Alligator mississippiensis: one gene and its partners. The protein of the gene in region 1 purifies or fractionates together with the protein of each later gene. This does not show direct contact. Links are inferred from orthologs where the notes say so. Each region holds a gene or a part of one and is shown in the gene's direction. Other genes may lie near its edges.

Evidence for each region.
Region 2: the proteins of HNRNPR (region 1) and DDX5 fractionate together in Homo sapiens (co-fractionation; 3 studies listed by BioGRID and IntAct, with this or other methods). This does not show direct contact. The link is inferred for Alligator mississippiensis from reciprocal best matches to the Homo sapiens genes HNRNPR and DDX5.
Region 3: the proteins of HNRNPR (region 1) and LARP7 purify together in Homo sapiens (affinity purification with mass spectrometry; 4 studies listed by BioGRID and IntAct, with this or other methods). This does not show direct contact. The link is inferred for Alligator mississippiensis from reciprocal best matches to the Homo sapiens genes HNRNPR and LARP7.
Region 4: the proteins of HNRNPR (region 1) and HNRNPA1 purify together in Homo sapiens (affinity purification with mass spectrometry; 7 studies listed by BioGRID and IntAct, counting the BioPlex papers as one, with this or other methods). This does not show direct contact. The link is inferred for Alligator mississippiensis from reciprocal best matches to the Homo sapiens genes HNRNPR and HNRNPA1.

What each region holds. Positions count from the first base shown.
Region 1 is NC_081829.1:9,933,825-9,940,793, reverse strand, and holds the start of HNRNPR (heterogeneous nuclear ribonucleoprotein R), read left to right. Parts: upstream 1-3,964; 5' UTR 3,965-4,020; coding exon 4,021-4,101; intron 4,102-6,969. UniProt on the Homo sapiens protein: Component of ribonucleosomes, which are complexes of at least 20 other different heterogeneous nuclear ribonucleoproteins (hnRNP). hnRNP play an important role in processing of precursor mRNA in the nucleus.
Region 2 is NC_081831.1:6,442,899-6,450,715, forward strand, and holds the start of DDX5 (probable ATP-dependent RNA helicase DDX5), read left to right. Parts: upstream 1-4,808; 5' UTR 4,809-4,914; coding exon 4,915-4,946; intron 4,947-5,868; coding exon 5,869-6,034; intron 6,035-6,290; coding exon 6,291-6,387; intron 6,388-6,486; coding exon 6,487-6,620; intron 6,621-6,801; coding exon 6,802-6,867; intron 6,868-7,301; coding exon 7,302-7,443; intron 7,444-7,531; coding exon 7,532-7,692; intron 7,693-7,817. UniProt on the Homo sapiens protein: Involved in the alternative regulation of pre-mRNA splicing; its RNA helicase activity is necessary for increasing tau exon 10 inclusion and occurs in a RBM4-dependent manner. Binds to the tau pre-mRNA in the stem-loop region downstream of exon 10.
Region 3 is NC_081825.1:125,983,107-125,990,037, reverse strand, and holds the start of LARP7 (la-related protein 7), read left to right. Parts: upstream 1-3,927; 5' UTR 3,928-4,021; intron 4,022-6,931. Other genes in the region: protein ZGRF1, read right to left, coding at 282-338, 453-533, 644-664. UniProt on the Homo sapiens protein: RNA-binding protein that specifically binds distinct small nuclear RNA (snRNAs) and regulates their processing and function.
Region 4 is NC_081838.1:7,977,952-7,985,354, reverse strand, and holds the start of HNRNPA1 (heterogeneous nuclear ribonucleoprotein A1), read left to right. Parts: upstream 1-4,384; 5' UTR 4,385-4,442; coding exon 4,443-4,475; intron 4,476-4,669; exon of another isoform or gene 4,670-4,762; coding exon of another isoform or gene 4,763-4,777; intron 4,778-5,120; coding exon 5,121-5,237; intron 5,238-6,342; coding exon 6,343-6,489; intron 6,490-7,095; coding exon 7,096-7,306; intron 7,307-7,403. Other genes in the region: CBX5 (chromobox protein homolog 5), read right to left, coding at 4,082-4,171. UniProt on the Homo sapiens protein: Involved in the packaging of pre-mRNA into hnRNP particles, transport of poly(A) mRNA from the nucleus to the cytoplasm and modulation of splice site selection.

The sequences.
Region 1 (6,969 bases):
AGGGAACCACCGCAGGCTGGACAAAGACCCTCTAGTCCGTGGGCCCTATTTTGCCCACCCCTGATGTAGAGTGTGTAAAAGTGCAAGTTGCACCAATCAGGAATCAGTGCTGTGAATCCAGGATAATGAGCAAGAGCTGCAGACTTCCAAAGGAAGGGGCCATGTTTCTGGAGGTATATGTTAACCTCATCTCAGCCTTTTTAGAGCAGAAAGGGAGAGCTGCTTTTACAGTTGAAAAGTAGATGGCTTAATATCTGGAAGCTTGCAGCCTCCGAGTAATGTCAGGCAGAAGGCACAGCAGGGAGGTACCATAGAGACTAACTGGTTAAAAAAGGTGTTGTAGGCAACAGTCTGTGAACAGTTAGTTTGTGGTTGAAAAGGGGATGGGGTGGGCAGTCATCATGGGTGTATGCATAACTATTAAGCGTGATTATCCTGCTGCAGACAACTGTGACTGGGCAATGAGCAGGACATAAGAATCCCCTTGCTTCAAAAGCTTCTTAACTGTGGAGGTCAATAAACAGAACAGGTATCCCAGTTCCTTCCTGCCTCTATCCCGAGTTTACAAACTGAAAGGGTTATTTTCCATGCTCATGCAGGCACCGATGGGTTACCCAGAACATTTCACAGACATTAATTCTGGCTGGCCAGGAAAGGTACATAATGCTCACATTTAGAAGAATGCAGAACTTTTTCAAAAGATACGGGCAAAGACATTCTTCCCCAGCAGGTACCTTCGTACTGCTAACGTTGAAATGACAATGGTGTTTCTGGGGTACCCAGCCCACATTTTGCAGCCTTGGCTCATGAAGCCATCCACTAGATACTTGGTGACAAAGAGAAATTAAATTGCCAACAGAAAGCAGGTGCAGGATGGCCATTAAAAATGCTTTTGTTGAAAGCCTGATGGACCTTAGTGGATCCAGTACCCCTGAACTTGCTGCTGCTTGCAGTTGGTCAAACACTGTTTGCAAAGTGCCAGCAGAGTGGCACATGGAAATTGTCAGACTGCTGAATTTGAGCAGCCAGAGAGTGGGGCAGCTAGCTACTGGTGCTTGCCCAGATGCTGTGTGGCTGAGGGAGACCCTAAGGCAACACCTCAGTGTTGTGTCTTGAAGGGCACTACCCCTGCATGCTTTGTAATGAAGGGAACATGAAGGTTTTGTGCATGTGCACAATAAAATGAGGTGCCCTTAACATGTCTGAATGCAGTGAAGCTAAGCACTAATGCATGAAGCTGGTAACAGTACACTTAATATTAAACATATCCAGTAGATGACTGCCCAAACACCTCTCTCATGTAGTTTGAAAGGTTTTGCACCGCTAGAGAAAGTTCAGCATGCCCCTTATCTATCTGTATATATCGATATCTGTATATATAGATATCTATATCATACATACGGACACATATCTATCTCTGAGTGTATATATATATCTATAGATATATCACACACATATCTATCTATATATAACCAATATATAGTCTATGTGTAGCCAACATATAGTCTAACCAAAGTGTGTGTAGATAGATATATATCATAGAACTATAGAATCATAGAAAATTAAGGTTATAGAATCATAGGAAATTAGGGTTGGAAGGGACTTCAGGGAGTCATCTAGCCCAACTATCTGCTCAAAGCAGGACTATCCCCAACTAGATCATCCCAGCCAAGGCTTCGTCTAGCCAGGCTGTAAAGCCCCGCAAGGACGGAGATTCCTCCACCTCTCTGGGTAACCTGTTCCAGTGCTTTACCACCCTCCTAGTGAGAATTTTTTTTCCTAATATCCAACCTAAACCTTTCTTGCTGCAACTTGAGCCCATTGCTCTTGGTTCAGTCATCTGTCACCACTGAGAACAACCCAGCTCCATCCTCTTTGAAACCCTGCTACAGGTAGTTGAAGGCTGCTATTAAATCCCCTCTCAGTCTTCTTTTCTGCAGACTAAATAAGCCCAGTTCCCTCCACCTCTCCTTATAAGTCATGTGCACCAGCCCCTGAACCATTTTTGTTGCCCTTCAGTGCACTCTCCAATTTGTCCACATCCTTTGTGTAGTGGGTGGGGAGGGGCAAAACTGGACATAATACTCTAGATGTGGCCTCACTAGCACAGAGTAGAGGGGAATAATTACTTCCCTTGATCTGCTGGGAATACTCCTACTAATGCAGCTCAGTATGCTGTTAGCCTTCTTGGCAACAAGCAACAAGGGCTCATTGCTGACTTATAATCATCTTATTGTCCACTGTAAGCCCCAGGTCCTTTTCTGCATGCACACACAGTTATGTATCTATCATATACGTACACATTTTTAATATATACACACACTTACAGGTTTCCTTGACTTTATGCTGTACATGCATTCCTGGAAAACAGTGCATAACTCAAATTCACATAAAGGGAACCCACTTCACAATGCAACAAGTAGGGATATGTTCCAAGACCTCGACTGTACTGACTCCCAAATCCATTCCTACCACTTTAAGACAATTTTGGTACTTTCCAACACCAGACGGGTGGCTGCCACTGCGTGCGGCACTTTGTGCCCAGCTGCAGCTGCTCCAGGATCAGTGCTGCTGGCTGCACTGTGCCCCCTGCCCGCCCAGCGGTGGGATGCATGTGATGTTGCGCCGCTCCCGGGGCAGCTGCAGAAGCACGGGCACCAGCTGCCCTGGGCAGCAGGCTTCCATCACACTGATAAGAGTGAATTTACCTCGCCTATAATGAATTTTTAGTATGAAAAGAATCATTGCATAAGAGCAAATTCGCACATACAGAACCTGCATAAAGTAAGGGAAACCTGTATGACATCCTGGCTGGGCCAGCATGGCTACAGCACCACTGACCCAGCTGCAGCAGCTGCCTTGAGGCAAGTACCAGGTGGGGTAGATATGCACCATACAGACTATATACACACACTACATATAGAGTGTGTGTATTGGTTATATATGGCTCGTCTACACGCACGACTTAATGCACACTAGCCTATTTTAATGTACGTTAAGGCATCACAAAAAACACGCTCTTTAGCCTAGTGCACATTAAAATAGGCTCAGGCCCATTTTCCCAGTACCTCACAATGGAGGTACGAGATTTACTACACGTAATCTAAAGTGCATTAACTGAACATGTAGATGCACCCCTAGAGACTAACCGAAGGGTGCATAATGACATCTATCTATCAAGAGCACACACCAAGTGCAGATGCTTCCTCAGCCTGATGAAGGGTATTTAAACCCGACAGCTTGCTAAGAAGAATTTTTCCAACTATTTGAGTTGGTCTAATAAAAGAGATCAGATTTACCCAAAGACCTTTGTCTGCCTGTGTCCTTTGACCAGCATGGCTACAACCTACACCCCTATATCTATCTATCTATCTATCTATCTATCTATCTATCTATCTATCTATCTATCTATCTATCTATCTATCTATCTATCTATCTATCTATCAGGTTTTTGAACCCGAAAGCTTGCTTAATAATTATTCTCCAACCATTTGGGTTGGTCTAATAAAAGATATCAAATTCACCCAAGGAACCTTGTCTGCCTATCTCCTTAGACCAACACGGCTACAACCTACACCCTTGTATCTATCTATCATGCACGTATCTACCAGATATACGTGTGTATCGACACACCCTTAGGTCCGTGTCTGTACAGTGTATACTTGGGCTGTACGTGCGCACACACGCGTGGCCTCCTCGGTGCAGCTGGACCGGGTTTCTCGGGCGCGGCCCCCTGGCGATAGGGGGCGCTCGCGGGACGAAGCCACCTCCCTCCCTTTGTTCGGCGGCGCTGCCCCTTTAAACCCCAGCGCTCGGGCCTCGCCGGCTCGCGCGTGCCGCCATTGGCCGGGCCCAAGCGCCGAGGGGGCCGAGCGCCCCGCTCCCGCGCCGCTCCCATTGGCTGGCGGCGCCGTCCGTCGGGCGCGAGGCTCGCTGACGGTGGGCGGGCGGCGGCGACGCCGCGGTCCCTGGAAGCAGTTCCGGGAAACCCCGCGTGCCGCCGGGGTCGCGCCGCCGTCCATGAGGAGAAGGAGGAGCGCGCGCCATTTGCCGTCGCTGCTTGGGCCCGAGCTGCGCCGCGCAGGCCCCGCTCCCGCTCCGGTGAGTCCCGCGGCGCCGCCGGCGGGGGGGGGCCGAGGCGAGGCGGGCAGGCCCCGCGCAGCAGCGGCGGCGGGGAGGGGCGCGGCCTGGCGCTGGCGGAGGAGGCGGGCCCCGCGCAGCCGCGCCGGGCCTGGAGGCGGCGGGGCCCGGGCCGCCCAGGCCTGGCGGGGTGGGGCAGCGCCCGGCCACGTGGAGCACCGGGCCCGGGGCGCGCGCGTGTGTGCGTGTGGGTGCGCGGGGGGGGCGGGAAGCTTGGCCTCGGTGGCCCCGGCCCCGCGCTCGCAGGCGGCGGAGGAGGACGTGCTTGCTTGTGTGCCCGCCCGCCTCGCTGCGAGCCGCCGGGCCCTGCTCGGGGGGGCTTCGCGCTTTTGCGGGGCCTCCCCAGCCTCCTCCCAGGAAAGTCTGGCAGCCGCGATGTTTTGCGCGGCAGGAAATACCCGGCCGCGAGGATCGGCCTCTCCCGCCGGCCGCGCCGAGCGATTCCCGGTGCCTTAGCGCCCGCGCAAGCGCTGGGGGGAGCCGCTTTCCGCTGCTCAGCTCAGCTCAGCCCGCCTGGGATGCGACTGGCTTTTTTGCTTTGCTTCCCCATCATTTTTTTTTATTATTATTTTTGCAGATCTATCTGCAAAACTTGTTGATTTTAAAAGCGGGAATTTAATATCCATGTCCCTCTGTTACATGTGGAGCTTGATGATCTGTCTTGCAAAGCAGTTTTTGTTCTTTTTCTTTTTTGCGGGGAAGCTCACGTGTTAAATAAATGTATCTTGGCACCCGTGCTGTGTGGAGTAGGTAGAAGAGGCATTGAGACATTCAAATGAATGAATGTTAAGACCCCTCTGCAGGGTCGCTTTGAATTATCCCTCAGACATTGCCCCACACATGCTTACAAGCCACCCCAGTGCTTAATTTGAGTGAACTGGCAGCATATCGAGTTCATCTACCACTGGTCAGGTTAATATAATACCATCACTTTGTGCAGTGATCTAATTGCGCTGACCACCTACAGCGCTAGTATAGCTGCTAACTGACTGCCGTGAAATCGTGGTAGGAGTGTCTAAGGCCATGACAGGCAGCGTTGGGTACCTTCATTAGTGTCTTCTATGTAGTTTTCAGCCTGAGAGCTGTGCCCATCTTTCTGTATGCCAAGAATGGGAATTGAGATCCCCCAAACTTTCTAGTACATGTTGTGATTTAAGTCTAAGAATTACTGTGTTGGAGGGGTGAGGGTGTAAAATACTCATTAACAGTAGCACATGCTGTAGTAGAAATCAAATTGAGAAAGATTGAGATTAGTAGAGGCAGTATCTTCCCAATAAAAACTTGACCAACCTTGTGCTGTGTTCATAACTATGAACCAGTGAATATTTTGTAGCGTGTTTTTTAAGTAAGTTCTAAATAAGACCAAGTTACGGTTGTTTTTACTACACCACAGTTTACTTGTATGAGAGAAACAGTTGTAATATACCTTCTTTCAAAACTTGAATGAATCTCATTAGTGACTGGAAGGTCCTTCAGTAATCATGTCAGAGTTCAGCTTCCCATTATAACCCCTTGTCTCCCCTCATTCATAACTTCCTTATTTTTTCCTTTTTGGTTTGAGACGTACTGTGGCTTTAGACTAAAAGTAGTTCTTTTGCGTGGTATCAGATTGTCTTGCTGTGCTCCAGGGATGCTGGGAAGGGGAGCTACAAGCTTAAAACAACTACTTTTGATGCATTAATAATGTAAATGGTTGGCATTCAGTATTTTAACTGTCCTACTTTTAGACCTCCAAGTTATCTGCAAAGAATATTAAAACCAGAATCGGGCTCAGAGTCCAAATTCTGTAGAACTTTTTAGTTATATCTGTTGCATGTTCAAGTTGACTATGTCCACTTCTGCTCCATGGTGGTCAAACTATAGCTAAATAGCAGTCCAGAGAAGTCTATTTTCAGCTGCCATACTTTCTTTTGATTTGTCATGTTAATAGAAAGCATCTATGGGGGAAAACATGGAGGCTTGACCATTTTGATTTTTTTTTTATTGTTTCTTTAAAATAAAAGCATTTTCCAGGTAATTCAAAACCAGATTAAATTTGACCTCCTAGTTTGTGTGAGTAGAACCTCATGAGAGCTAGTTATTACAGTAACACATTGTGAGACAGGGTATGGGCAGGATACCCAATTAAAAATACAAAGTAGTTGGAAGTATACTTTAATAGTATAAAGTTCCTGTTGTCTTCAGTTGTGTAGCTGGGAGTTGCAATATGGAGTTTTTAGTAACACATCTGACTGCACTTCCACATGGTCTTATTAGTATTCCAGGAACAATCCCCACACACAATATATATACTGATAATCAGTAACTGCTTTCAGGAGGTACATCTTCATGTGCACCTTCTGAATTCATCTCTTTCTGGACACTACATATATATGTATATCTTTCACCTGAGACTTTTGCACACATCTGGGGCAAAACAATTCACTAACCCTCTGAAATTAGGCATAGTTCTGTGCCTGCACATGAAGGTTACACTATCCAAATTTACTTGAATGCAGTGCTTTTTATTTATGACAGGTCAGAAGTTGAGCCATATCAGATACCACATACAACATCTATATACACTTACCTGATTTTGTGGTCATCTTTTTAGTGTTGCATACTTTTAAATATTAAATCTTTGAAGTTCATTTCAAGTATGGAAAGGGAAAGCAAAGGTATTCCTTAATCAGACTCTTTTTTTTTTGTGCATTCAGTTGTGTGTTGTTTTTGGTGGCAAAGTATCTTACTAGATTTTATCCCTAGTTGTCCCACGTAGCGCACACTGCTAAGGAAGGAAGACTAGGTATTTTCTTTCTCTCTTTCTCCTCCTCCCCCACTCCCCCATCA
Region 2 (7,817 bases), on another chromosome or scaffold:
GGTTCATTACAGTCCTACACATGCATCATGTCTGGTGCATAAAACAGGCCCAAGACAGGCAAGTGGGATGTAAACTGCTGCCTTGGGAGCAGTGAATGAGGGAGAGACAAACCAGTCATTTACTGGTATCAAACCGAGGTTTACAGTATAAGGCTGGAGATGGCTGTATCTTCTGAATGCCTCATTTAAGTGTTCACAACGGCTCCGAGTGGGAGAGAAGTCTTACTCCTATTTTACAAGTAGGTAGACTGAAGCACAAAGGGGTTTGTTTGTTTTTAACAGGTTCACCAAATGTGAAAAAGGAAGTCTGTTACAAAACCAGGAAGCGGACGCACATTGCCTGATTCCAGTTACGTGTCTCTGCCACAAAAATCATCCTCCTTTCCCTAGGCCAGCTTTTTTTCATTGCAAACAGTTTAGATTATACAGCTCTAGAACGTGTATCTGCATTGAACAAGCATGTCAGGTGGAAGTTATGTCATCAATTAGACAAGTAACAGCATTGTATTTGGAAGAGGCAAGGATTTTTGTAGCTGATTACCTTTTTTTATTAGACCAACTGCATGATGGTGATAAAGTTTTTGATTACAAGGCATTCTTCATCAGGTTTGAAGGAAGAAGCAGGTGCAGGAACACTAAAATGGCGTGTAGGGTTGTGAAATTGGAGGAGAGAGAGTCCCAAGGGCAGCAGACAAACAACAGATAAAGAAGCTTGATTAATGGGAGATCATGACTCTTCAGAAGAGGAAGGTGGTTATTATCTGTAGTGTGAAGGAAGAATTTCAGGAATTGGCAGCTAATAATATGCCATGAAGTCAATATTGGGGTTCAGTCCTTGATTCTAAATGTCATGAAATCTTGCTCTGAGTTCACCTTGTAAGTGTTTGTAAATTGCCCTTGAGCATGGGAATAGTAAGGTCAGAAAAGAAGTGATTTTTTATTTCATTTTATTTTATATTATTATTATTATTATTATTTTGTGGAGACAATGTGCTCCTACTGGCACTTGTGTGTTTCTGTTCTTTATATATTTTAATTTTTTTTTTTTTTTACAGTTCATTCTGGTGTGCAGTTTGTTTAGTTTCACCCATTATATAGTTATTTTGAGGGCACTTGTTGCTGTGGGTTGGATATATCATACTTTGGGAGAGGTGCATGTAGGATCCATGGATTTTGATGGGTTTGTAGTTGGTTGGTGTTCACTGTTAAAGCAGTGGAGATGTGTTGACAATTTTTTGGGGTTTTTTTGTGGGTTTTTTAAATCTGTCGGTAAGGCTGGATGTGCCCCTTCTGGTATCAGTTCAGCAATGGGGAGTTTGTTTCTGACATTGAGTTGGGCAAAGTAAGGAGGTTGTTTGAAAGCCAGGAGTGGAGGAGGGGCTGGGGATTTTTTTTCCTCAGTGTTTGCTTTGTGTCAAGTATGAACTACAGTTATTTAATGATTCTTCTAATCCAGGGGTGCTCAACCCCTAGCCTACAGGCCAGATCTGACCCACAGAGTTTTCAGGTCTCCCTGTGGGTCCAACGATTTTGGTGGGGGGGGGAGCAGTGGCAACTAACACTGCTGCTGCCCCCAACACCAAATTTTCAACACCCCCCCCCCCTCCCCAGCAGGATAGGACCCCATTCCCACATAGCTGAATTGAGCTGGAGCCTGGTGCAGGTGTGTGTGAACAGGCCCCAGCTGGGTCATTCCAGCATGGCTGCACGGGGAACTGTGATAAGCTGGCTAGATGCTAAGAACCAAGGACTGAACACTATGGCATACTGTGATCTACCCAATTCCCCAAATCCTTCCTCATCACTAAAGGTGATAATGAGCCTCCTCCCTTTTGATAGACCTTGATCGCCTGTTAATCCAAGCTTCTTTTTTCTGGTAATTGTTTGTCTGCTACCCCTGGGAATCTGTCCTCCAATTTCACAGCCCTACACGCTGTTTTTAATCATAGCTGTGCCTGCTTCTTCCTGCACACCTGATTAAAAAAAACAAACAAACCTTGCATTTGAAAGCTGATCTAACTTTACACCGATCATGCAGTTGGTCCAATTAAAGATATCACCCACAAAGATCCTTTTGTTTCTTGCATGATTCCTTAACCATCGTGGCTGCAACATCATTCCAGGACTGCCAAAGCATTGTAATTAACTATTTGATTTGAGGTCAGTTGAGCTGTTTGCACCTCTTGCAGCTACTGTTTCACCTTGGGTGCAAATAGGACTTTCAGGGTATGGTTACAAGTTGTATCCAGGTAAGCTAATGCTGAATTCACAGTGCATTAGCCAGTCTCCATGGCAACTTCTCATGTGAATGCTCTTAGTTTGCAATAAATGCAAGGTAGCTCTCGCCCCTCAGTAAAAGTGAGGTAAGGTACCTTGCATTTTCTTCAAGCTAAGAGTGTGCACACAGATGGTTACCACAGAGTAGCTAATATGCTATAAATTCATCCCCCAGTTCAGTGGGGGCCTAACCATTTTGTCAAGTACGCCACAAATTAGCCCCACGCCAGGAGTAGGCAACGTTGTTGGGCAGAGTGCCAAATACACCTGCAACTTGTAAGATGTTGGTGTGCCAGGGGTGGGTGGCATGGGAGCCATGAGGGGTCTGGTCCTCATTGTGGCAGCACAGACCTGGCCCCTACCCCGCCATCTGCCCAAGCCTAATGTCTTCCTGTGCCACACTGGCACTCATGCCAGGGGTTGCCTATCCCTGCCCCACACCCCCTGAAACTGCCACTCTGATCCCTTTCCTGCATCTGATCTGCTGCTCTGCTTTCAGCTCCCTGCCCTATCTGCTGCTTTGTTTTTTTGTTTCCTGATTTGCACTCCCCGCCCATTGGCTGTTCTGCTTTCTAGTGCCTGGGCCCTCCCCAGTCTGCGATGCCACACATCTGCAGGGTCATGCTGCACTACATGCAGGCTGGCTGTCTCTTCCCAGGCTAACTTGTTGGGGTAGCCATACCCACAGCCTCAATCTTCTTTTGAAGCCAGGTATTTTCTTTAATGTTTTAAATGGTAGCAATGCTGGGAAAGACTAAGAAAAAGATCTAGTATGTACATATTACTAGAAAAAGGAGTGATATGAAACTAAAGCCCTTTTTGGTAAATAAAGGGATGAAGAGGCATGTACTTGATAGTACAGGCTGCCCTGCAACTGCTCTGTGGTAAGTGCTTTTCTGAACGATCTTTCCCCATGAGCAGTGAGGTAGCTTTTCCTTCCTTTTTTCCCCAAAGGGAAGCTGCTGCTCATTGCAGAGTAAGAGTGTGCATATGGGCAGCTACTGTCAAGCAGCTCCTACTCTGGAAGGGTGTCAACTGGGTGCCTCACCTTGCATTTACTGCTGGGTAAAAGCATGTTTATGGGCAGTGACCTCTGGAATAGGTAACATGGAGGTCACACCCTGGTTTACCTCATGGTAATTTGTGTATGTGCCAACACCCTGAGTTCACACCCTAGTTTAGTTCAGCATAACTTGCTTTTGTAGCTATGCCCTTAGGGGTGTTTTCCCTGCACTTTTGTTTGGGTTACGTCACTTGATCTAGCTCAACTCAGGTGAGAGACAGCACTGCAGCTACACAGTCTACACATGCATACATGCTGGTTTAGTAACTTACTGTGCAGTAAATTTGTGCAATAAATGGGAATAGGCCAGGGTCTATATGTGTGGGCCACATTAATGCTGTGTGGAGTGACTTGGGACGAAAGTTAGACCCAAATCAATCCACAGTGTTACTACGCAGTAACACATCAGGCATAATAAATTTGATACCAGCATGATGCAGGTAGCAAATTTAGGCTCATGATGGCGTAAGTAGCCATATTTACTGTGCAGTACAAGCATGCACGTGTAGACGCGTGCCCATACTGCGCAGTAAATGTGCACACGTAGATGCGCCCAGGGTGGTTTAATGGGCAGGACACGCTGCCTTGGCTGTTCTGCTGTGGCAAGTTGGCAGTGGGGGCTGCCGCCTCGCAGCAGAGAGTGCGCAGGGCACAAGGGCCCGGAGAGGGGCAGGGGGCACCCGTTGTCTTGTAACATTAACACTTTCTACAAATGCCTCTGCCCCGCAGAGTCGCAGGAGCCCGGCTGCCCAGCACTGCGGGGGTTCCTAGATGTTACAGATTTACTTTTTTTTTTAATGAAATTTTTCATGTTCCCAGCCACATGAAGTCCAAATCCGTGAGTCAGTCCAGAACCGTAAGCGGCCCTGCGCTGGGAAACATCCTCCACCCCCACCAGGGGCTTCAGCTATTTCCAAAGTCTTGCACAGAGCGTCGGGTCCAGCCACCCTGCACTTGCGCAGGTCCTTTCCCAGGGAAGGCTAGTTTCATCCCCGGGGGCTGGGCCGGCTGCGGTTCCTTGTCTGCGAACGGGGGCGATGAAAACGCCGGGCGCGGGGAGGGCGCGCCGCAGCCACCCAGGGAGAGGGTGCAATTGCGAAAGGTGGGGGGGAAATTGTTGCATATAGAAAATCAGCACTGCGCAGGCGCGCTCAGCCGCGCAGGCGCGGAAGGGGAAGGGCGAGAAGCCGCCTGGGGTTCTCGGCACGCGGCCGGCGGGCCGAGCAGTGTGAGGGCAGCGCGAGCCGCGCCCGGATTGGGCGGGGCACTTCCGCCCGCCTGCGCCGCAGCCAACCAGCCAGCGGGCAGGAGCGCGCGCCTATGGGGCGTTGGCCCCGCCCACCGGCAGCGGAGGCCCCGCCCACCGGCAGCGGCTTACATAAAACAGCCGGGCAGGTTCTGCGCTGACGTCACGAGCCGGCTCCCAGCATGCCTCGCGGCGCCGGCTATATAACCGGCATCCGGCCGGCCGGGCGCTCCCCATTCATTGGCCCCCGCCGACACCTCGGGACCTTATTTCTTCTCTGCTAACGTCGCCGCCAACCAGCAAAATCGCTTCCTTCAGCAGCGCCGCCATGCCCGGGTACTCCAGCGACAGGGACCGAGGGTGAGGCCGGGGGGGGGCCCGGCCGGCGCCCGCCACCGGCTCCTGCCCCGCGTGAAATGGCGGCGGCGGGCGGGGGTCGGGGCCCCGCGGCGCCCGCTTCCCTCTCCCCGCCGCTGCCATGAGGGGGTGGATGCGGGGCGCGGGAGGGCCCGGTTCGCGGTGCGGGGCGGGGGGCACGGGCCGGCTGCCTTTGTGCGGCGGGCGGATGCTAATGGCCGGCCCCGCCATGCGGCGGCTGAGGGGAATCAAAATGCCGGCTGCGCTGCCTTTGTTCCTCCTCCTCCTCCTCCTCCCCCGCCCCCGCCCAGCCCGGCTCTAAAATGGCAGCGGCTGGAAAATGTGGCGTAGGCAGAAATGCCAGACAAAGGAAGCGGCGCCGAGGGGGGCACCGCGCCGCCTTGTCCCCTCGCCCAAGCGCCCGCGGAGGCACCGCGCCGGCCGCCGCATTCCCCCCCCCCCCCCCCCCGGTGGTTTGCACGGAGGACCAGGGAGGAAAAAAATAAAAATCCCCCCTGCCTGCAGCGCCCAAGGGACGCGGCTCGGCGCTGCCCGCTCGGCTGACGCAGGAGGGGAGTGTCCCCGCTCTTACGAAAGCCGCCGGGTTTGGCCCTGGTCCAGCCGGCGGTTTATTTATTCGCGTCATCCGTCGGCAAGGAAGGGCTTTCTGGGGGGGGGAGAAACACAAAAAGCTTCGCCGGGCGGCACCTCGCCCGCCTCCGAGAGCGGAGCGGAGCCTCTTGCGCGCGGCTCCCATTTTGAGTCGGATGCGCAGCGATAAAGATGTGCCCGCGTCTCCTGCGCGCCCGCCGGCGGAGCCCGGGGGTCGGGGTAGGCACCGGCACGCGTTTATAAGGGGGGGGGGCTCGTTCCTGCCACGGCTCTTTTGTTTGCTGTCAGTCCTAACCTTGTCTGCGTCTTTCAGGTTTGGAGCCCCTCGGTTTGGTGGGAGTCGAGGCGGCCTCCTCTCCGGGAAGAAATTTGGAAACCCGGGGGAGAAGCTTACCAAAAAGAAATGGAACTTGGATGAACTGCCCAAATTTGAGAAGAATTTTTACCAAGAGCATCCTGATGTAGTTCGGCGTACTGCAGTACGTATTGTGACCATTTTTTTTTTTTAATTATTTTTTTTGGCCGTTTTAAACCTAATCGGCTTCATATTGCAAAGGTTGTACCCACTGGAGCCTGATAGCTTTCCAGTGTACTGACTTGAAACAAGTTACTACAAGCAGCAGCTGGATTTGAATGTAACATGGGGTTTTTTTTTTGTTTTTTTTTATTAAAATAATTGAAACGAAATAAATAATTCAAATAAATAAAATAATTGAACATCTTTTCTTTTAACAGCAAGAGGTTGAACAATACAGAGCAAGCAAAGAAATTACAGTTAAGGGCCATACTTGTCCAAAACCACTCATAAACTTTTACGAAGCTAACTTTCCTGGTAAGTTTAGCCAATTAGTGCCAAGGCATTTGATTCAAAGCTCATTAAATAGAAGCATCAAGTTAATATATGCCCCCCCCCCCTTTTTTTTTTCCCCAGCAAATGTTATGGAGGTAATTCAGAGGCAGAATTTTACTGAACCAACTGCTATTCAAGCCCAGGGATGGCCTGTTGCCTTGAGTGGACTGGATATGGTTGGAGTAGCACAGACTGGATCGGGGAAAACGCTGTCTGTAAGTTTTTTGGGGGGTTCTTTTTGCTGTTTCCTTCTTTTTCGGTTGTTTTTTAATACATTTTAGTGTAATTGTTTAATTTCTTAGTTTTTAATTTATGTAATAGCAGTTAAGCTTGTTTTGGCTTTACAATAAGGGGGGGAGCAGGTTTGAGTAAAAACTGCCTTTTGTTTTTCTACAGTACCTGTTGCCTGCCATAGTGCACATAAATCATCAGCCATTCCTAGAGCGTGGAGATGGACCTATTGTGAGTATAACTTGATATGAAATATCCTTTCATTCTAGGTTGCGTTTTTATATTGAGATGAATAGGGAGGAGTGTTTATACTCTTCTGGACAAAATAATGTCTTATTTTGAGAATAGAGCAGGAGTGCTAGTTCACTCCTAAATCATATGTTCTCTTGTATTGGCTGTAAGAGTCCATACTGGTGGAAAAATTGAAAAATGGGGTAAGTGGTAGCCAAACCAAGGGAACTAAAAGATTTTTTGTGAGAGCCCTACTAAAAAGCAAGTTCTCTAGCTCTTAATTAAACACTTGGGATAGAATTTTTTTTTGGCCACATTCCCCATAACGGAAAATAAAATCTTTCATTACTTCCTTAAATCTTCATTCTCTCTTAAAGATAAAACACGTTTTGTAATCATTGCACAGAGAGCTAATCTAATCTAATTATTTCCAGTGTCTGGTGCTGGCACCAACTCGAGAACTGGCTCAACAGGTGCAGCAAGTAGCTGCTGAGTATAGTAGAGCATGTCGTTTGAAGTCCACATGTATTTATGGGGGTGCTCCAAAAGGACCACAGATCCGTGACTTGGAAAGAGGTATGAAGAGAACTTATTTCTTCATGGCGAGTACATAAACAATGTCTTAACTTTTGTCAGGTGTGCTAATCAACATCTTTGGTTTAAGGTGTGGAAATTTGCATTGCCACGCCTGGAAGACTCATAGACTTCTTAGAAGCTGGAAAGACTAATCTCAGGAGGTGCACTTACCTTGTACTTGATGAAGCTGACAGAATGCTTGACATGGGATTTGAACCTCAGATCAGAAAAATTGTAGATCAGATAAGAGTAAGTGTTACTTGCTTTTTTTGCTTTTTTTAAGCTTGGTTTACCAAGCTAACCTTTATTCCTGTAGCAGTCTTCTAACATTTTACGTATGTAACAAACTTGCTGTGTCCACCTTGTTTCTCATC
Region 3 (6,931 bases), on another chromosome or scaffold:
GCAGGTTGGCCACTCCTGCACTATACAGTACAATGATACTTGCTATCCACAAAAAGCACATTTATTAGACGTTATCCGCTGTAGTGAAAATCTGCTACTATAATGCTTTATACTTTGTTAGATCAAAAATATGCTACATCTGACCATTTATAATCCTGTATTTGTAACAACTTCTAAAATCAGAATATATTAGACAAAATAGTAGGACAGGGAACTTTAGACTGTGCAAAGATGAATAGTGGTCCCAACAAAGACTAAAGTTTTTAGTGTTAAAAATATACCTGAGTTTTGACAAATATGCTCTCCAAACATTGTCCTTTGTCATCAAATAAGGTCGCCTGCATTGAAACATAGTGAAATGTTAAACAATCAAATTACTGCATTTCAAAGAGCAGAGTGGATTTGGTAGACTCAGAGAATATATCATACTGTATTAAACTTGAACTCTTCACCTTACTTCCTCCAGTGCTGGTCTTCAAAACCCCATCTTGCCATACTTTTGATTTCTTGGTCTTCTGATGAGTGTATAAGACCTTTTGAATAAAATTGTGATAATTACTGAAATGATAATTTATAGTGGTTGTTGCACAAACACAAGAAATATTTAACTGAATTTTATATATTGTTAATAAAAAACACTTACAGTAAACTCTTGACAAGTCATTGCTTTGGATGGCTTTGCTTCATCAAAGGTCTACATTGCAACTTTTCACTCTCTCATGCTACCTAGGAGACAAATATCTTTTTTAGAAGACATCAGCAAATAATCTAATTTACAGAGGTGCAAAGCACCATTCATTTTAACTCAGTTGATACCTCTGAAAATGTAGCCATTAATTTTTACAAAGCACTTTGAAAATTAGAAGCTTTATCGTATTAACATAATCTTCATGCACACTGGCAATAAGAACTTAGGTTACCTCAAAAGGTATGATTTTCAGAAAATGTAGAATGCCCACTGTCTGAAAAATCCTTTTTTGTTTGCTTGTTTTGTTTTTACACATAACAAGTTGGCCCATTAAAATTTAAGCTGCTGACCCCCCCCCCCCCCCCAGTTAGCCAGTCAACAAAGAACAACATTTTATAAAAATATAATGATCTGTGTCTATGTTCAAAGGGTTGGACTTTCATTGAAACTATTGTCAGTTTTATTAGCTACTGGCACTATGATGAAAATCGACCACAGGGAAATAGCTAGTACTGGCACATGCTCCCAAACTACTTGCAATCTCTGGCTGCCTCTACAGACATCAATATGAATGAATGAAAAAGTATTTAAAAGTAATCATACATAAGAAAAGGAATATGGAAAGCCAAGAAATATTGGACAGCTGTAGAAATTATAGGAAACTACATGATAGCCAGCCTAATAAAAATATAGTTGGATCGATAATACAGATACTATATTTTAACTTTGAAGCACCATACCAGTAGTTACCAAACTGTGGTTCATGGGTGAAACCAATTAGTACACTCCAGCAGGCTCAATTAAATCAAGCCTGCTCCAAAATGCTATAATTACAGCACATTGAAGCAGCATCCCTGCGCATCTACAGACACCCTAGGACTCTGCAATGCTGTGGCTAAAATCTGTCATTCTGTTCCTGGGATCCACACTGATTCAACATTGTAAAAATAAATGTCATTGTTGTAGAACAGTTTCTAGTCAAATACAACTGATTTATGGTATTAGAGATGAGAGAGATTCATGGCAATGAGTCTCAAACTGTGCAATTGGTTTCATTACTTTATTAAGCAAAAAAAAAAAAAAAAAAAAAAAAAAAAAAAAAAAAAAAAATCTTCAAATGCTCAAATTCTACAACTTACCACCAGAGGGCTTTCCTGTTTCCCATATTTTTCGCTATCAGTCTTGGTTCAGCTGTATAGAAAAATCATGTTTCCAGTTGTGTAAATGCTAGTTCCCACAGAAAAGGCAGATTCTACAGTTTATCATCATTTTTGTGCTAGTGCTAGAAGAGGATTCTGGACTTCCAGCATTAAATAAAGCCATTTACATAAACATGTTACTCAAGAGAAGAGTAGTTTTCAGATTTTTTTTTTTACCTCTTCTTTAATAACAAAATGGAACTAGAACAATACTGGGAATTATAGAAGCAGTCATGCAAACTCAATGGAAACAAGTTTAAGGCAGGCTGAATAATAGGGGCACCAATACAGACTCTGTTTTCCCCTGGTTCATTGACTATTAAAAGAACATAACTGCAGCTGCTAAAATTGTAAATGACATCAAATTGGCTGTTCTTGTTCTATCATTAAATATTAAAACAACATCACCTAATTTTCACAAACAACCTTGAAATATTTTCAACAACAAAGGAAGAAAGAAATTAAAGGGGAAGCCAAAGAAAAAGAATCAACTTTCATCTTTTTTTTTTTTTGGACTGGGACTAACTGAAAGGATCAGTACCACTTCAAAGTTCTTCTAATGCTAACAGGTTACGAAAGATCAAAATAAGTCTGTTTCCCCATCACTCCTTTTATTACAAGGATTGTTTAACAGTCCCTCTCTTTCACATCATTTAAAGCAGAGGCAGGCAATTATTTGGGCTGAAAGGCCACATGTGAAGTTTTGTGAGCTGTTGAGGCCTGGGAGGAGAGGGGAGGAAAGGGGAGAGGGAGCCAGGGAGATGCCAATTGATCCTATCCACACTGCTAGCTACTGCTGGAAGCCTGAGGGAGCGTTGTGCCCCACACCACTCCACTCTGCCACAGCCAGGACCTGGCTGGGCCAGACAGTGTGCAGATTCCTCCAACACTCCCCTGCCCCACCATCCTGTTGGTACTGTGCAATCCTGGCACTGCAACAACTGTCAGCCTGGTCCACATGGGACAAGGCATGATGCAGCACGCTGAGTAGTTGTACCACCCACCCACCCACCCACCATGATGAGCTGCTGCAGCCGTGCCACATTGTAAAATGTTGGGGGTGACAGCCCTGAGTCAAGCGGGGGTCGTACCCAACTTTGGGGGCTTGGCTTTTTTTATTATTATTAATACATTTCATGTTCCAGGTCAAATCAACCAGATCAGTTCCACATCATACTACTGAGCAGAACTCAATCATTCCAAAATCCATATCGACCGAGCAAGCAGGACGCAGTCCCAGGCTTTCACCCTGGGACTTCAGACACTCCCAAATCCACTGGCAGGCATCCTACCTGCAGGCCCAAGAGATGCCCCTGCTTCACTTTAGCCCACAAGAGGCCAACTTCTGGGTTTGCTGTCAGTGTTTTCTTTTGCCTGCTTGCCTTGAAATAAAGAAATGCTTCGACTCTGACCCAGGTCTCACTCACACACTGGCGATTAGTGAGCAACATAAATTTAAAAAGATGGGTTATTGGCATATTTATTTGCAGATTTCTCAGGGTACGATCGCTTTTCAACAAACAAACACGATCGTTCTGAGCTTCCCATGCGGGTACTTTCATATTTAAGGTGTGGCAACGCTGCGTTCAGGTAACCAGGCGGGGACGGGACGCGGGCCCGAGGCCGGCTCGGCTCGGCTCGGCTCGGCTCGGCTCGGCTCCAGCCCCAGCCCCAGCCCCAGCCCCAGCCCGCCCCAACCTACCCCACCTCCCGCCCCCAGGCAGTAACATGGAGACAAGCGAAGGGAAGGTGCGTACCCACCTCACGGAGGGACCAAGTGACCGCCGGACCCTTTCAACTTTGAAGCTTTCCCGCGCCAGCTGCCGATGACGTTGTTCCTCTGCGCCGGCACAGAAGGCCCCCGGCTGCCCAAGCTTCGCCTGACGGGAAAGGGGAACAGGACCAAGCCGCTTCCTTGTCGGCCCCTGGCAACCGGCGTGCGCGTAATACGTCACGAGAGCGCCCCTCGCTGATTGGCCTGGCCCCGGAGCTTTCGCTCTGAGACTCGAGCGTCGCGTTGATTGTGACGTGACGGCGGGGCGGAACGGCGGAGCGCTGGAGGAGGCGCGGAGGGTTGTGGCCGCGGGGCGCCCGCGTGACGCTGCCAGAAGCCCCGAGCGGCCGGCGTTGGCAGGTCAGTGCCGCTGGGGGGGAGGGGCGGGCGAGAGCTACCGCGGCGCTTGGAAGGGGAATGCTGTGACGTCAGGGCCTTGTCATGGGGGAGGGGGCGGGGCCTGTAGCAGCTTGCGCGCGAACTCCGCGTGTCGCAGAGCCGCGTCCTGGCTGTTGTGGGGGGTCCTGCTCCGGTGGGGTCGTGTGCAAAGGCTGTGTCCGCGCATGTGTTAGCGGTTCCCTCCAGCATGTGCGCTGCCCCCAGGCCCCGCTTTGCCCTGGCCGTCGTGCTGTGGGCTGAAGGGGGCTTGGTGTTCCTGCCCACACTCATGCAGCTCCCTCTTACTTGTTAGTGGGAAGAAGTCAGGCCCTCCTCAGCTGACACTGACCCCATTGGCCCAGCATCTGACGGGCAAGACGTGTATACACACGTGTGCATGCACCTATCTATAGATATCTACCTTCAATACTACCAAGCGGCCCCTGTGGTTCACTTGGCAGGTCAAATCACACTAAAAACGTGTTACACAGTTCACACCATGCATCCATTTCCATACCTGAACCCCCACCCACTGCCCTCCTCAGAGGGCCTGCCCCTGAAAAAGTCTATGCCAGGCCCCTCTCCACCAGATAATCTGTCGTTTCTTTCCCATCCTCTTCTGTCTTCCTGTAGTACCACTTCTCCCCTCCGGCCCCATGGTTCCCGTTCAGGACGGTCTGTTCCTGAGTTTATCGCCCCGCAGGGCCCTACCCAAAATTGTGAACCTTCTCCCATTAGCCAACCCGTGGGCTAGTCCAAGAAAGTCTGCACTATATCTGCCTACATTTGTGAAGCTCCTCCCATCATGGAATCAGAAAATTAGGGTTGGAGGGGATCTCAGGAGGTCATGTAGTCCAATGCCCTAGATCAGGTGCTACCCAGGAAACTACCTAGTTGCATCAGTGTGCTCTTGGAAATAAGCGTGTTCTCACATTGAGGTGACAGGTTCATAGCTGACATTTGATATTTGCTCCCATTTTCTCTTCCTACTCCCTTGAACATCACCCTTTCTGAGGTGCTATTTCAAGGCTGAAGCGGAATGGGAATCGGAGAGGACAGCAGTACATGGGCTGAAATGTCAAGCTGCCATTGAAGGTCCATGATCACTAAGTGATATGCTGTCCCTAGGCTTTTAAAAATAAATCATTATATATCACTAAACTCATTAATGTTCAAATGGATGGCCCTCATTACAGTCCTGAACAAAAAAATATGGATTAATACACAACAGACCTTTCACAGGGCATGAAATGCTGAGTGATTAACACCTTGTACTGCAGAGACTATTTGTTTTGTTTTCTTTATTTGTTCTTTCTTATGCATCTGAGGTTACTGTTCTTTATGAAACAAAATCTAGAAGTCCTTTGCCCCTGTCAAAAATGATTTTCTATTTGCTTTTTTAAACTGTCAGGGAGGCCTATGCTTTCTCTTTAGGGAGATCTCTTTGGGAGACAAACTGAAGAAACAGGAGGCTGAAACTTAAGATCAGGTCTTACAGACATCAGCATAACTTAAACTTGCTAACTGTGCTATGCTACAATTTCAAGTACTTGAACACAACCTCTCAAAGTTACATTTACTTTTGCTTTTGGTATGAAGTGCTATGTACGTGTGCATATGTGAACAAAATTAAATTTTATTTTGTAAGCAGTAGTTACATTTTAACACTGAAGCTGTTGCTCATCTCATCTGTTTATGTTTGTTAAAATGGAGCTTTTGTTACAATTTTCCTTAATACCATTCGGAACATTTTTGCAGTCATGAATTAAACATAAATCCAAAGCACTAAAGCTCTCTTAAATCATCTTCAAAAATACAAATGTACGTGTTTATAAAAATATGCTGTCAAAATTTGCTTTACCTGTGGCAGGTTAGGTACAGGCTGATGTTGTGTCAGGGTTGAGGCTAGTCTTATGTAAAGTTTAGATTTATGGTTGTATGGAATGTTTTGGATAGGGATGATCCTGCCTCAGGCAGGGAGTTGGACTAGATCAGTGGTTCTCAAACCTTTTTTGTACCAGGACCCATTTGTAAACATTGATGGCCAGTCCTAGCCCAGTGTCCCTCACTCCTGACCCACTGCCCCCAAGCCCCCAGTGTATGGGGCAAGAGCTGGGGAATGGAGGATAGGGGGCCCCAAGCAGTCCCTTGCAGGCTGGAACTCTGACAGCCTGCAAGGGAGAAGCCACGGTTTTCCAAGTTTTTCTCCTTTAAAGGAGAATCCATTTTTTAAAGTTTTTTTTCGTGACCCTTTCATATATTCTTGTGACCCATAGGTTGAGAAATGCTGGACTAGAGGACCCTTCCAGCCCCGCTTCTCTATGATTCTATGACCAAAAGAATGTTCAGCATTGCAAAAAAAAAAGATAGGGTCAATGAGCTAGGGGGGAAAATCAGAATAAACTTATTCTGCCTCAACTTAAATATTACTTTAGAAGATAAAGAAATTTAAAAATAGCAAGTTCATTTATAAACCCTAGCAGTAATGTGTGAGCTAGTGTGGATGTCAGAGGCAAATAAGGCCATAAATCAATACAAGCAAGACAGTTATGTTTATAAGTTTAAGATACAGATTTTTAAAGACCAAACTTTTAAAGATTAAACTACAAATTCAAATGTTATTTCCTTCTTAAGGGGTTTTTGCTTGTAGCTGTGTTGGTCTAAAAAGAGTGACTGCACCCAAAAGCTTGCTAAGAACTTTTTTCCAACTACTCAGTTGGTCTAATAAAAGATATCACATCTACTCAAAGAACCTTGCCTGCCTATTTCCTTCTTAAGACATGTGAAAGTTGTATATTCACCAAGGTAATGGACAGCCATCCAAGTAAATGGTTTAGATCCCTTACAGTGAATTTTGTCAGGGAGTTCAGGAACGTACTTCCTGTAATAGAT
Region 4 (7,403 bases), on another chromosome or scaffold:
TGGGGATGGAGTGCTGATATCAAGGGGGGCTCCATCGCAAGGGCAGCAGCTGGACCGTGGTGGGCTGTGGCTAACAGCAAGGAACAAATACAGGCTGTACTGACAGGATGAGCTCTCTCCTGGCAGCAGTGACTTGGGGCATCGAGGATAATCATTGAAAGCAAGTGCCTCCAATATAACCCTGTGGCAGACAGGGCAGAGGAACCGCAAGTTGTTTCTACAAGATCCTTACCTGGTGCTGGAGTGACTGGTGCTGGAACACCGCGTGCAGGCTGGGGACCACCGGTCAAGGGCGCTGAGCTAGAGATGGCTCAGAGAAGAGCCATAAGAACGACTGAAGGATGGGAACCCTCGCCTTGCCATGAGAGCAAAGAGCCCAAAAGAAGATTGAGACCACCCCAGATACCCACCCAGGTACTGGAAACGCTAAGATCAAGGACTCCTCAACCAAGCAGACAAGGGGACAGCGAGCCAGAAGCTGAAGCTAAGGAAATACAGGCCAGAACTAAGACACCTTTTTACAAGCAGAGAATTTAGCTAAGTCCTGGAGCCACCACAGGCACCAGACATTTTAATCCAAGGCGTTTCCCTTCTTAAAGAGCTTGGGATTCCCCACAGCTTCTGTGCAAGGATCAATCCAGGGAAGCCTGAGGGCCAGCAAGACAGACTGGGTTTAGACTCTGTTGCACAAAGTCTATACAAAAAGGAGGGTGCCTAGGCTGTCAGGGAGCACGCTAAAACCACAGCTCCCTTGTCTGCTATAGGGTAGTGACACTGGTTAACAGGATCACTAACACCCGCCCACCCCTTTTCTTCTACCTAGGGACAAAAGTATCCAAGTAAATCCCCCATTCCCTGCTTGGACCACAGAGCCACTGCATATTAGATAGTTTTATGGGGAGCCTAATTTAACCAATCCAGCACATGCTGCTTAACAGGCACCAACATTCCTCCTGGTCTAGGCATGGATGAAGGAGGTGTCTAGCACGATATATGGCAAGCAACTCCTTTCCCCATCTGGCCAGCTTCCTGTGGAAGAAGGTCCCTCGCACATCTTGTTACAGGCTCAGAAAAGCCATCAGGCTCTCAAACAGGGGCTGGCAGTGTGGCTGGACAAGGTGCTCGCTACCTGGGTTCACAGGACAACCCTTTCTCCCACAAGGAAGAAAGGAAGAGCTCTTCAATAAACGGAGGTGCTTGAAGTGGAGGGAAATGGCCCGTGTGCCCTTGGATCATGCTAATGCCTCTGAGATGGATGAACTTGGCCCTGCTGGAAAGCTCCTTCTTGCCTGGTCTAGGGATAGCTCCTACCGGCTCTCCAGTTCCAAGGCACTTCCCGGCCTCCTTTGTTCCTCTCACACCCTCCCCTTTCTGTTAAAAAGAAAAAGAGCATTGGAAATTCAATGTACAGCTACAACGCGGAGGAGGGAAGGGCAGGACGCTCAGGCGAGGAACGCGGGAGCGAAGGCTCCAACAGCAATATTAGCCGGATTCCTCATCGCATCCATCTTCCACGCTCCCAGCTCAGGTTTAGCGCGGAGGTCACTATTTTACTCGCCCGTGCTCCCTGAAAGCGTCGCGAAAGCGCAATGCAGCAGAGTTAATGTTCCCAGCGGAAACTCCACGGCTGAAATTTCCTGCCCTTTTAATTGTGTAACCAACCTTAAATGTCTCATTAGCGCCAGGGGCTTGCATTCAACATGAGGGCGTATTTATTGCTGGAGGCAAGATTCCAGCACGGTCTGGTGACGGGCAGTTAATTCACCTGGAGAGGTGGTGGCTTGGAGAGGCCACCAAAACGTGGGGGTCAATCCTGCTCCGTGGCAGCAGACATGGCTGAAGCCCAGAGCGCTGGGTCTTCTGCACAGGGCAGGATTTAGCCTCTGGCATCTTTCCCAAGACTCATCTGTTTTGTCCCATGTGTTCTCCGATGGCATGGAAAACCCCAGCCACGGCTCGAAACCCCTCTGGGCCAGGCCACAGACCAACGCACAGGCAGGACAGTGCAGGGAGCCTCCCAGGAATGCAAGAGTTCACCTAGCTGAGGCCCTTTGGTTTCGCCTCAACTGATCCATCACCTCCCATTGATGCCACCCCAACTACCCAGGACCACAGCAGATGCACGCACACACCAGCCCTGGTTAATTTGGGAGAAAGAGGCAGCAGGAGCCTGCCGGGGTCTCCACGCAGCACCAGCCCCTCCCAGTCTGACACAGCTGCAGTTGCCAGCCCGTCTGGTTACTAAGATACTGCAAGGCTAGCCGAGCCCTGCTGCAGCAGTCTAGCCAGGCAGACAATGGCTCAGCAGCAGGAGCTCCCCGTTCATCCCAGCGGAGCCTAAAGGCAAACCCCGCTGCCGGTCGGGCTGAAGTTACCGCCGCCCATTGTTAAAGCTCAGGCCGGGGCTTGCTAGAGAAGCACGAGGCTGAGGCGCAGGCAGGGGGACTCCGCTGCTATGGCCTCCGGGGGGCAGAAACCCAGTCTGCTCCTGCACGGAGCCCGTTCCCCTTCTCGGCTCTCCAAGTCGCTCTGTTTAAACACAAGGCTCCCCTTGTTAGCCACTGCAACGCATCTGGGACCCAAGTGCTTCTTTCCACTGGAACCATTACAAAGAGAAGTCACATACACAGGAGCGTTGTAGGGGGCAGCTGGGTAAGAGGCCGCAGCCACAGCCACATTTGCAGACTAGACATCCCCTGGGGGTGGGAAGCGTTAAAAAAACGCAGCAATCTCGCCTCGCCGTGCTCTGGGACCAGAGGAGGCCTCCAAGGCTAAGCCCAGGCCCCTCGTCAGTACCTGGCCGTCTGGTCCAGCTGGAAGGAAAGCTCATGGCTCGTTGTTGGCCGAGGAGCTGTGGTCTCACCTCCCTGGCTCCATTTGCAAAGCGCACTGATCTGCTGCAAGGGGCCGCGCGCTGCAGCCAGGGTACGAGATGGCCGCAGCTTCCACCAGCAGCGCCCATGCTCCGAGGCCTCGTGTGAGGGAGGCGGGGAAGCAACTGGTGTTCGCTCTGGCTTGAAGGCCAGAAAAGCTTCCACCGTGGACGGCCCCCATGCTATTGTGCAAGCCAAGCAGGACCTCCCTTCCTCCCCAGCGCCGCCCCCCCCGCTGCCTCAATACAAGGAAAAGGTCTCCCAATCGGAGCCTTTCCCATCCGTGCTACAGCCGTGGTGCCAAGGACCCCCAAAGCCGCCCAAAGCCTTCGCGCACATGATTTCCAGCTGCGACACGCGGCGGGGTTCCCACCCGCTGCCCTCGTGAGGCATCGCCCCACGTGCCCAACCCTTACTCCCCACTGCAAAACCGGCTGGGGAGGGGGGGGAGGGAGGTGGGCCAAAGTTCCCCCTGGCCTACGAAGAGCAGCCCCCACCCCCGTTAGCGGCATACAAGCGAGGTGTTTGCTCCGCTCTCCCGAAAGGGGTGGGGATCCAGCCGCGAGGACCAGCCCTGGAGATTGGCACGAGAACGACACTCAGCCCCAGCCCCAAACCGGAAGCCAACCCCCGCTCCTCGGACGCATTAAAGCGGGGACCTAGGGCCATGGTGGGGGGGGGGGGGTCCCTCGTGGGTATGCGGGTCCAAACAGGGTCCCAGCCCCCCCTCCCCCGCACCCACGTGGTCGGTGCGGTAACCCCCACCCCCCCGACGTCACAATGAGGATCGAACGCCTGGATCCATTCTAAGGTGGGGGGGGTAACTCGGTAACGGGCAGCGGGGCGGGCGCTTAGCCCCCCCCACCTCGGCCGCCGATTGGCCGGCGCCGCTGGCGCTCCCGCCAATCCGGCCGCGTTCCAGGCGCGCGCGGAGAAAAGCGGCACGGCCATTGGGCGCCGCCGTCGCCCGTCCGCCGGCGGGGCCCCGCCCCTCCCCGGTGCCGAAGCCGCCGCCCCATTGGCGGAGCTGCCCGTCCCTCACGGCCCCGCGCCTTGCTCTCGCTCTCCTCAGGCAACGGCGCCTCCGCCCCGCCCCCCCGGAGCCAACGCGCCGCGCCATTGGCCCACGCGCGTGTCTGTCAAGCCCGCCCGCACTCCCCCGTTCACTGCATACAACGAGCCCCCGGACCGCGCCGCCGCCCGGGTACCTCGGGATGCAGCGGATCCGGCACCCCTGCCTCTCCACTCCGCTCCTGCGCAACGCCCGCCGCCCGCCAAAACAGCCCGCGAGCGCGCATGCGCCGGCGAGCCTCGCACCGCGCATGAGCGCCCAGACCCCTCCCTCCTAGGTGCCGCCCCCCCCACCGCTACGCCTGCGCAGTAGGGCGAGCCCCGCGCGCTGCTGCGCGTGCGCGAGCCCGCCCCCGGCCTCTTCTTAGAGCGCGTCTGAACCGCGGCGCGGCTTCTCGCCCTGGTGGAGTCCGCGCGGCCTCGCCTCCCCGCTCCCACCTGTGCCCGGACCCCGGCGTGAGGTAGTAGCGGCGGCGGCGCGGAGCAGGGCGACCCGCGATGGAGCGGATGGAGCCGCGAGCGGGAAAGAAGGTGAGCGCGGGGGGTGGGGGAAGGGGCGGGGCTCTGCGCATGGTCGCCATGATCGGGGGCGGGATCGTTTCTGTCCTGGCCAATGGGGGAGGGCGCGGGTGCTCTTCCACCAATGAGAGCCTGCAGCCTCTGGGATTCCGCCAATAGGAGGCGGTGAGGGGGGCGGGGCGCAGCGGCTGCCGCCCAATGGGAACTCGCCGGCGGGGTGAGGCGGTGGCGCCGGCGTTGCTCGGCCCCTTTCGGAGCCGGCACCTCAAGGAGCCCGCATCGCCGCTGCTGCCGCCGCCATGTCCAGGGCCGAGGTGCGTCGGGGCCTCCTCGTCCGCCGGGGTCCTCCCGCCCGTTGGGGTTTGCGCCTGCGTGGCGGAGGGCGCCGAGCGGTTTTTGCGCTTGCGCAAGTGGGGGTGGGCTTGCGTGGCCGGCGGGGCGGACGACGCATGCGCGGCGCGCGGGGCCATGCGGGCGGGCGCCTTTGTGCTCGGCGCGCCGTGGCGACTGCGCATGCGCCGGAGCTTCCTTTCTCCCGGGGCTCCCGCGTGGCTCGGCAGGGGCGGGGGGGCGGGTTTGGGGTACCTGCGGGCGGGAGCTTAGCCCCCAGTCCTGCGAGGTCTCGTTTCCCGCTCACTCCCTGCTATTCCTCTCTAGTCTCCCAAGGAGCCCGAGCAGCTGCGCAAGCTCTTCATCGGCGGTCTGAGCTTTGAGACGACAGACGAGAGCCTTCGCAGCCACTTTGAGCAATGGGGCACGCTCACCGACTGCGTGGTGGGTGTCCCGGGCTGGCCCCTCAGCTGAGTTAAACCCATTTAATGAGCTGCTATATATTCTTCCTGCGTGGGAGAAAGGTGGGGGGTAGATAAGCTCGTGTGGCACTTGTACTCGAGGAGACTGAAAATTGGTCGGGGTCTTCTTGTCCTAGCCTTGGTCCGATGGAGTATTGAAAGCCTTGGTGCTTTGGGGTTGTTGGATGGGTTTCCTTAAGCTGCCTTTGTGGTGTTAAAGATGCACTGCCGTTGATGTGATTAAACAAGCGCAAACAGCATCCTGTCTGAGTAAAAGCCAACAGCGCATATGGGATAAATGGGGAGAAAAGTTCCCAGGGGTAGCAGGCAAATGGCAGAAGAAAAGAAACTGATTACAGAGAGATTAGCACCTATTAAAATAGAGTGGGTGTTTTTATCACCTTTATTTGTGCAAATAATTACTTTTAAGTATATATAATGTGCTATAAGGGTGCGGACAAGTGACACCTTTCTCCTCTGGCCACAAAAAGCAGTTTATTGCATGAGGAATCGGATAAAGACGTTACAAAATGTAGCACCTTGTGTAACTTGTGTCTGCAGAGCTCCCAGCCCCTCCTTTTCAGATTGGGAGGGGGGAAGGGAACAGGGAGTTCAGTCTGGGGGGTTTTCCATCCCCCTGGAGTATGGGGTGGATGTATTAGGAAACACCCCCCCTCCCCCCCCCCCCTGGGTGGGGGCACACCAATTAGTCCACCAACCCTTCAGTACCAGCTTGGGTGCCCCCAGAAGAGCTCTCTCTGCTGCCTTTTTCCCCCTCCCATCATGCAAACAGCAATGGCAGAGTTCTGGCTGTTGGTGTTGGAAAGCACCTCCATTCCCCTCGCCCTGGAACTAACAGTGAACTTCTGTTTGGTTTGGGGTAATGTAGAAGATTCTTGCTAAGCAGCAAGTTGAGTTTACAGCTAGGAGCTGCACTTCTGTCTGCAGCTTAAAACGAATCGGGTTGGCTTAGTCATGCATTTATATGTATTTTTGTTCTGAAATGCCAGTTAATGTTCTCTCTAGGTTTCCCTCTGTGCACTTGTGTCGTCTTTGCTGGGTTGCTCATGGAGACTTGTGTTTTCTAGGTGATGAGGGACCCAAACACCAAGCGTTCCAGGGGCTTTGGATTTGTCACGTACTCCTCCGTTGAAGAAGTCGATGCCGCCATGAACGCCAGACCGCACAAAGTCGATGGCAGAGTTGTTGAACCAAAGAGGGCTGTGTCCAGAGAGGTAGGAACAACAAGACTAGTCCAGTGAGTCGGTGATAAGCGTGCTCCTCCATCTTGTACCAAGGCTGAGTTAACAGTGGAGCCCTTCATTTGCGTGGCTGCTCTGGTCATTTGAGACTTGGTTGGGCATGCTCCAATTTATGGGAGTTGCTCTAGCTCCTTACGTTCTGTGCTGTGAACGATTCCTCCCGAGGTAGCTTCTGCAGCCTGTTGTTTCATTGGCTGTGTTTGGGGGGGGTGGGAAGGTGGTCTCTGCTATTTCTCACGGAAAGACTGGGTTACAAAGTTCCCCCATCTTGCTTGTGGTTTTGGGGTGGGCTGCAGTTTCCATCTCAATTTCAATCCCCAGTTGTGCCTTTATGGGCACCTTTGCACTGGAACATGGCTGAGAATTAGCCCTTTCCCCTTACTGTGGGGTCTGGTGTAGGTGGGGATTTGTTAACCACCCACCAGGTGCTCCTTCAGGCAACAGGAGAGCAGCCAGTTTCAATGCACTGGTTTGTGACTTATGTGCTTCTGGTCCATGTGATGCCACCTTTATTGCATAGAGAATGGGTGCTTGTGTCATGCTTCTTTCCCTCATGCATTTCCTCTCTGTCCTGTGCAGGACTCTCAAAGGCCTGGTGCTCACCTAACAGTAAAGAAAATCTTTGTCGGGGGCATCAAGGAAGACACAGAGGAGCACCATTTGCGGGACTACTTTGGGCAATACGGCAAGATCGAGGTGATTGAGATCATGACAGACCGCGGCAGTGGCAAAAAGCGAGGTTTTGCCTTTGTCACCTTCGATGACCACGACTCTGTGGACAAAATTGTCAGTAAGTACCTGGCTGGCTCTTACAGTCCCACCCAGCTTTTCTGCCTGGATACTCAAGGGCGGGTCAGACTTGTCAGTCACATGGAGGTAATATCTCG